Linked DNA regions of Rattus norvegicus. The protein of the gene in region 2 interacts with the protein of the main gene of each other region in a pairwise test. Links are inferred from orthologs where the notes say so. Each region holds a gene or a part of one and is shown on either strand. Other genes may lie near its edges. The genes, in order: Nelfa and Prr22.

The links.
Region 1: the proteins of Prr22 (region 2) and Nelfa interact in a two-hybrid assay, tested with the Homo sapiens proteins (2 studies listed by BioGRID). The two-hybrid records come from large-scale screens. The link is inferred for Rattus norvegicus from reciprocal best matches to the Homo sapiens genes PRR22 and NELFA.

What each region holds. Positions count from the first base shown.
Region 1 is NC_086032.1:81,053,942-81,057,750, forward strand, and holds the end of Nelfa (negative elongation factor A), read left to right. Parts: coding exon 1-51; intron 52-488; coding exon 489-577; intron 578-1,320; coding exon 1,321-1,432; intron 1,433-2,247; coding exon 2,248-2,519; intron 2,520-2,667; coding exon 2,668-2,767; intron 2,768-2,880; coding exon 2,881-3,065; 3' UTR 3,066-3,605; downstream 3,606-3,809. UniProt on the Homo sapiens protein: Essential component of the NELF complex, a complex that negatively regulates the elongation of transcription by RNA polymerase II.
Region 2 is NC_086027.1:1,684,965-1,688,881, forward strand, and holds Prr22 (proline-rich protein 22), read left to right. Parts: upstream 1-1,330; 5' UTR 1,331-1,385; coding exon 1,386-1,497; intron 1,498-1,581; coding exon 1,582-1,647; exon of another isoform or gene 1,648-1,939; coding exon of another isoform or gene 1,940-2,072; coding exon 2,073-3,148; 3' UTR 3,149-3,165; downstream 3,166-3,917. Other genes in the region: Dus3l (tRNA-dihydrouridine(47) synthase [NAD(P)(+)]-like), read left to right, coding at 15-90, 226-414, 508-636, 715-787.

The DNA.
Region 1 (3,809 bases), on a different chromosome or scaffold from region 2:
TGAATACAGTTGGTGCTGGCCGAGAGGCAAAGAGGAGGAGGAAGACTTTAGGTGTGTGAAGCATTGAAGATCTGGAGGGAGGTCTGACAACACTGCAGCCTAGTGTGCTGTAGTTGTTTCTGCCAGTATAGTGTCTGGGTCCTTTGAGGTTTCTTTGTGCTTTCTCTTCCCGGTCTAGTCTGCCTGTGTCTTATCTCACCATCTTAGCACAATGGTAATGGGACTTTTCCCAGGGGTTTTTTTTCTTTTTTAGTGGGAGGTGTGGCTTCTTGAGACACGGTCTGTACACTGTAGTTCATCCTGGCCTCAAGCTTGAAGCTTTCCAACTGCTAGGATTACATTTAACACCATCCAAGGAATCATTTCTTTGCCCTGATACCCAAGTGCACAATGCCATTTTACATTTGGCTTTCACAGAGAACACTTGTGACTTCTGAACTGGGGCTGGGTCAGAGAGCCACTAACCAGCTCTCTTCATTTATCGGCAGACACAGAAGTGGTAGAAAAGCCCACCAAGGAAGAGACGGTTGTTGAAAATGCCACCCCTGACTATGCTGCTGGCCTGGTGTCCACACAGGTAGGACTTTCCATGCAGTGCAGCCGTGGGCATGCTCTATACCATTTCTAGCTGCTGACAGAGCCAAAATAATGTGCTCCCTTGTGTCCTGATTGATACTGATATGTTCTGTAAAAGTGTGTGCATACATATATGCAGGTGTGTGCGCATGTGCGAGCATGTGTGTGTTAGTGGCAGAGGGAGCCAGAGCCTGACTTGGGCACCAGTCTCGTGTTTGGCACAAACACCTTCCTCATACTAGGATTACTGCCTGGGGGTGTCCATACCACTGTTATATCATGCGCCTCACTGTCCGGTGCATATGGTTCCTGTTTGCCGCCCACCTGCTCTGAAGACCAGGAGCTGCATGCATGTGGGAAGGGTGTTTCAGCAGAGCGGCTCTTTCCCAGGGTCTGACTGTGGAGGTGGGTGTGGAGACAGTTGCACAGGTTGTGTGTGGAGGCAGTGTGGCCGTTTCATGGTACGGTCTCTGAGCCCACTGTCTTTGCAGTACCCTTTTCGTTGCTAAGCTTTTTCCCCTAGATGTCAGTTTGAGAGCATAGGGTGGTGGCCATGGCTTAAGTTAAAAGTCCAGCATCACTAAAATCAGGGGCTTATGGGCTAGAGAAGCCACTGTCCCTGCCCTGAGACAGCAGTATTTGCATTCTTGCTCTGTTGATGGGCAATGGCTGACTGAAAGTGTCCAGGCTACTCCCAGGAAGGTATACTGACTGCCTGGAGAAACTATGGTCTCTGCCTTCCAGAAACTTGGGTCTCTGAACAGTGAGCCAACACTGCCCTCCACAAGTTACCTGCCCTCTACACCCAGTGTGGTACCTGCCTCATCCTACATCCCCAGCTCTGAGACTCCCCCAGGTGAGTACCAGGCAGTGTTCTAACCAGTTTTCCTTCAGCCCACAGAAGCACTTGCCCTGGGGTCACAGGGTCACTTTGACACCTGGACTGAGCCTAGCAAAGCCACCCAGGAAGTAGCAGCCTTGCTCACACAGGGTTCTGCATTAAGGCACCTGTCCCATTGTCTTTTGGTCCCAGGGAGCAGGGAGAGCTCCTGGCCGAGAAATAAGCCAGAAGTCCTGATTTGAATGAAAAAGTAAAGGCCAAGACTTTGGCACCCTGCTCTTGGGGTGGTAGGTGGGAGGATGGTGGAAGCCAAGGGTTTTCTCTTCCCAGATGAGGCACACTGCAGAGGGATGATTCAGGGGCAGAGGTCGGTCACGAGAGTTCAGGGGTTGGCTCCACTGGGCTCAGCTTTGTACGTTGGCGGTCAGTTTTCTTCATGACATGTAAGGATCAGCAGCCTTGCTGAGGCTTGGGGAAGCTGCTTTCCAGGGTCCTGTAAACCAGTACCAGTACATGTCTGTCATAGGCCAAGGGCTAACCAGAGCCCTAGACAACCTAATCCCTGGGTCTAGAAATGCCAGAGGACATGAGCTTTGCTTTGCTGGGTAGTGCACGGGACTCCTTCCCTGTCTGTGAAGGGCAGCAGTGATGGGAGAAGACAGGAGGAGGATATGGGGTAGTTGTTGGGGCAAGGGATTGGAGCTGAGCCTGTTGCCTCTCCAGAAAATGGTGTCTGGGGCAGGCAGCCTGGGGGCCAGTCTGGGATGAGTAGATTAGGAATGAAGACTCGCTTTCCTGGACAGCTCTTAATAAACCTGCTTTGCCTGCAGCTCCACCCTCCCGGGAAGCCAGCCGGCCACCTGAGGAACCCAGCGCCCCAAGTCCCACACTGCCAACACAGTTTAAACAAAGGGCACCTATGTATAACAGTGGCCTGAGTCCAGCGACCCCAACACCTGCAGCACCTGCCTCACCTCTGACACCTACTGCTCCCCCAGCTGTCACTCCCACTGCTCAGACACCCCCAGTGGCCATGGTGGCCCCACAGACCCAGGCCCCGGCCCCTGTTCAGCAGCAACCTAAGAAGAACCTGTCCCTCACGGTAGGTCCCCAGGCAGGGCCCAAGGCCATTAAGTGGGTAGCACAGCTTTGCCATTTTTGCAACCCTGGGGTTATGGGATGAGTATAGCAGGGCCAGTGGTAGAGGGTAGGGCCTCAGCAGCCCAGACACCCACATCTTCCCTTCACAGAGAGAACAGATGTTTGCTGCCCAGGAGATGTTCAAGACAGCAAACAAGGTCACTCGGCCAGAGAAGGCCCTCATCCTGGGCTTCATGGCTGGCTCTCGAGGTGCGTCTGTGCTCCTAGGCTTGGGAGGTGTCCCCACCCCGCCCCCCGCCCCATGGATTGGGGAATGGGTTCCTTGGCCCTAGACACCTGCCCAGCAGTCCCTCTCCCTACAGAAAACCCATGCCCGGAGCAAGGGGATGTGATCCAGATCAAGCTCAGCGAGCACACAGAGGACCTGCCCAAGGCAGACGGCCAGGGCAGTACCACCATGCTAGTGGACACGGTGTTCGAGATGAACTATGCCACAGGCCAGTGGACGCGCTTCAAGAAGTACAAGCCTATGACCAATGTGTCCTAAGTGCGGTCTCTGCTGCTGACCGTCATCGCACCAGAGGACAAATTCTGCTGGTTCTGCTGTTTCCTGAGCAGATACCGGAAGGATGTGTTCCACCTAGCACTGCTGTCCACAGGCTCTGGGGCCCCAGCCAGTTCTCTGGGGAGTTTAGGCTTATTTTTTTATATTGTAATGAGTTAGTTTTTTGTGTGATTAAGATACTTTTTTTGGATTCAATATTATGCTTTGAATGCAAACCAAAATTTACTTCATAATTTTAGTGCCTGTTAGACTTTTACCTTTTTTACTTCTTCTTAAAATAGTACTGGCTAAGAGGGCTTTCTTTTTCTCTGCTTGTGCATGCCCTTCCTCATGAGGTTGAGGGGACCAAAGGTGACACCTGGCAGTCTAGGGTGTGAGGGCGGCTATGACCAGCCTTGATGCCACTACCTACCAGGGATTTGTATGTCTTTTGTACAGTTGTAAACTTTTCAAACCTGTGTCTGAGTTCCTATTTTCATTGTAAAATGACCTGAGCATTAAAGTTTAGTTTTTCTAAAGAAAGCCCACAGAACTGTGTTTAAGGCTGGCTTGACTCCCTGCTCTGAGACCAAACCCTTCCCTATATGGCTGTCAGAACCTGGGGGAGGACAGGCAGGGTTGGGAGATAAGGCAGAAGTAGGTAAATGGGTAGGGCAACTGTGGGCACCCAGGAAATGGAGTCAAACACAGTTACATATTAAATAAGTGTAAGAAAAAGGCCTTTAA
Region 2 (3,917 bases):
CTGTGTCTCCTCAGGAAATGGAGACATCCTTTCGTTTGAGGACGCCAACTGTGCCATGCAGACAGGGGTTGCTGGGATCATGGTTGCCCGGTAAGTGACGCCAGATGGGCTGGGACAGCAATGCTAGAACTTTCTGCACCTGGGGACCCTGTGAGGCCGAGGCCTGGCTGCTGAGGTGACTGGAGCTAGGAGGCACCATGTCCTCAGTGAGCATCTCCCTTGTAGTGGCGCCTTGCTCAAGCCCTGGCTGTTCACTGAGATCAAAGAACAGAGACACTGGGACATCTCATCCTCTGAGCGCCTGGACATCTTGAGAGACTTCACACACTATGGCCTGGAACACTGGGGCTCTGACACACAGGGTGTGGAACGGACCCGGCGCTTCCTTCTTGAGTGGCTCTCCTTTCTTTGCAGGTGGGCACTGAACCAGGCAAATGGCCAAGGTAAGAGATTGTAGCCTCAGACCTCACCGAGCCTTATTGCTTCCTCTGCCCTCCTGGCCCACAGGTATGTGCCCGTGGGCCTGCTGGAACGACTGCCACAGAGGATCAATGAAAGGCCACCCTACTACTTAGGCCGTGACTACCTGGAGACACTCATGGCCAGCCAGCAGGCTGCAGACTGGATTCGAATCAGGTACGCACTGGCCAGGGCTCTACAGGTTGATGCTGTGAGGCCCAGGCCTGATCTGATCTGTCACTTTTGTCCCCACAGTGAGATGCTGCTTGGACCAGTTCCACCTGGCTTCGTCTTCCTGCCCAAGCACAAAGCCAATGCCTACAAGTAGCTAACAGAGACAATAAATTTTATTCTTGTAGAATTTCTTTTATTTTGTTGGGTTTTTTTTTTTTTTTTTTTGGTTTTTTTTTTTTTGGAGCTGGGGACCGAACCCAGGGCCTTGCGCTTCCTAGGTAAGCGCTCTACCACTGAGCTAAATCCCCAGCCCCTTGTTGGGTTTTTTGAGATAAGATCTTATATGGGCTGGCCTTGAACTCCTAGAATCCTAGGCACACCGTCCATCACACTGGCTTTTTCTTAGGTGACCTAAAATGGCCTCTGTTCCTCTTCTCCTAGGAGGTGGCCTTGGCAGGTGCCTGGTCCCCGTCTGCACTGTTTTCTGACTCTAATCTGTCCCGTTTTGTTGGGCAGTGTCCTTGGGACTTTGAATTGGGTGACTTGTATGGAGGCAGCAACAGAGACCTGGCTCCGGGTGGAGAGGGCCGCCTCTTGCCCACCCCCTCCCCCTCCTCCGGAACCCAAGTGATGGGCTTGCCCTGGACTGGAACCCTCCACCTAGCAACACGGTGCAAACAGAACCCAGCGGGACTCTGTCCCCAGGTGCCTCTGCTGCCACCCGGGCCCCCCCGGGGTGGCCTGTCTCACCCATGCAGCATCCCAAAACCCTCTATCCCCCAGCCATACCCCAGGAAAGCTTCAGCCTGCAGAACCTGGAGGGCCCTGAGGTACCAGGTGGCTCAGAACCCCTTCCCACTGTAGGTATGATGGTGGTGGTGGACAGGGGTGTGTGATGGCTATGGGGCCTGGGCCCCTGCCCCACCTACCAGGCACCTTTGTCCACAGCCAATGCTAACCTGCACTATCAGAACCCCGGCTCTGACCAGGAAGTGCTTCCAGCCCCTCCAGCAGGTATCGGCCGGCACCCTTGAGCCTCGCTCTGAACAGGCTTCATACCCAAGATGAGACCCCAGAATTGCCCTGGGTCCCCTCTACCCCAGACAGATACCCCCATAGCTGAACTGTGTCATGTTTTGAAGTAACACTGGAGAGCAGGCTGAAGCCTGCTTTGGTGACAGCGGCTGCCACTAGGCAAGGCTTTCTGAGAGGCCTGGGCACCCGAATTCAGGTCGTTGTTTTCCTGAGAGGCATCAGAGGAGAGGACCCCAACAGTCTCTGTGTCTTGCCCCCCACGAGTCCCCAGATGACTGGTAAACAGCCAGTTTTCAAGGCTCCTCAGAGGCCAAGGCTGTGTCCTATGTCCTGGGCTTTGGGACCCTCAACCCCCATGGCCTGGTTCCCCCATGGAGCCCCACTCAGGTGTCCACCACCCACAGGCTTCCAGATGGCTCCCTGCGGCTGCTTCTTCGACCCCCGCATCTACCGCATCGAGTGGGCCACCTCCGACTTTGGCCAGTCATCCCTGTACAAGGTGGCAGTGGCTGGGGGTCCTGCCTTATCTGGTGGCTACCTGCTGGAGGCCCCGTCCTACCTCAAGACCCCGGGGCCACCACCTCTGCTTTATCCCCACTACCAGCCGGCCCCCAGCGGGCCACAGTACCTCACACATTTCCTTCCACCAGAGGAGCCTATGCCTGAGGCTCTGGGCTTCATGCGGGACGGAGGGCCCCTCAACTTCATGGAGGTGCTCAGAGACGGCCTGGCACCCCCGCCAACCCCCAAAGAGACTAAGCCATCTCCCTTGCTTATCACAGTCCCCACAGCACACACGCTGCCACCTGGGCCCTATGGCCATCTCGGTGGCCAGACCAGCCAGTTTCCAGGACCCCAGGTGACCATGAGGCCCACCGAGGCCCCCAGGGAGCTGCAGAGTAGTGGTGCAGCCAGGCCGGGTCTGCAGTTCCCTCCTGGGCCTGGAGAGCCCACGGTGGCCAAGGTGGAGGAGGTCACCCCAGTGGGCTCAAGTGAGACCGTGCCTCCCGAGGTGGCTCGTGCGTTCTTCCTACCAGACAAGGTCCTTCTAGAAGATGCCATGAAACTTTTTGATTGTCTCCCTGGTGGCACTGAACCTGAGGTGGCCTTGCACAGGGGTCCTGGCCCCGGACTGCGGGACAGTGGTGGTGGTGGGGACGACTTCCCAACTGACATCCGCTCCCTGCACCTGCCAGATGACCTGCTGTCCTTTGACTACAGTGTCCCTGAGATTCTGGACGCGGTGGCCAACGTGGATTATGTTTTCAGCTTCAAGGCCCTGGAGGATGAGCCGCTGCCCCATCTTGGGGCCCCTGTCACTGACACGGCGGCCCCTGGCCTGCGGTCCCATCAACCGGGGAAAAAACCGAGCACATCCACCAAGAAAGGGAAACCAAGCGGTAGACACAGGCAGGCCACTGGCCTTGCTGGCACCACTGCCACAGGACCCAGGCTGGACCCAGGAGCCACCCCCAATTAAAGCCATTTGATCTCTCAGCTATGTGTGGACACATGTCCTGTGACCATGACCAGGCAAGACCGCCGACTGCATGGTGAGACTGGGGGTGGGGTGGTGCCAGTCACGTGCCTTCAGAGTTGAGTCAGGAATCTCAGAATTGGACTGTCAGGTATCAGGGTTGAAACTAAACTGTTAGCCCTACATTTAGGTTGCCTGGGTAGGAGGTTGGAGGCCAGTTTGGTCACAAAGTACAGCCTCATCTACAAGAAATGAAGATATGGTGCTGCAGCTCAGCTGGTAGAAGGTTGGGGGTTCATTGGTAAAGTGCGTGGGGCTCAGTCACTATTCACAAAACCCTGGACTCCTTCCCAGTGCTATATAAAGCGAGTGTGGTACATGGTTGTAACCCTAGCCCTGAGGAGGTAGGAGAAAGTCAGAATTTCAGGGCTAGCCTGAGCTCCCTGAGCCTGTCTCAAGAAGAAAGGCAGTTGCCTCAGACTGGCCATGTTGGGAGGTCTCTTGAGAAGTGGGGTTTTCTTTTCCAGACACTACTGAAATGGGTTCCCTCGTATGTTTGGTGGTCAGAGTCAAAGTGTCCTGAGAGGAGTGGGCACAAACCTGGAGATGCGGTGTGTAGGTAGGCCCTGGAGAGTGGCCGTCCCCTTTGGCCTGCCAGATTACTGCACCTCACCTGTGCCCAACAAAGCCAGAGTTTATGGAAGGCAGGCAGGGAGGTTGGCCCTGCTGTTTGGGGGCTTTGGGTCAACCTCAGCATGGGTGCTGGTGGGAG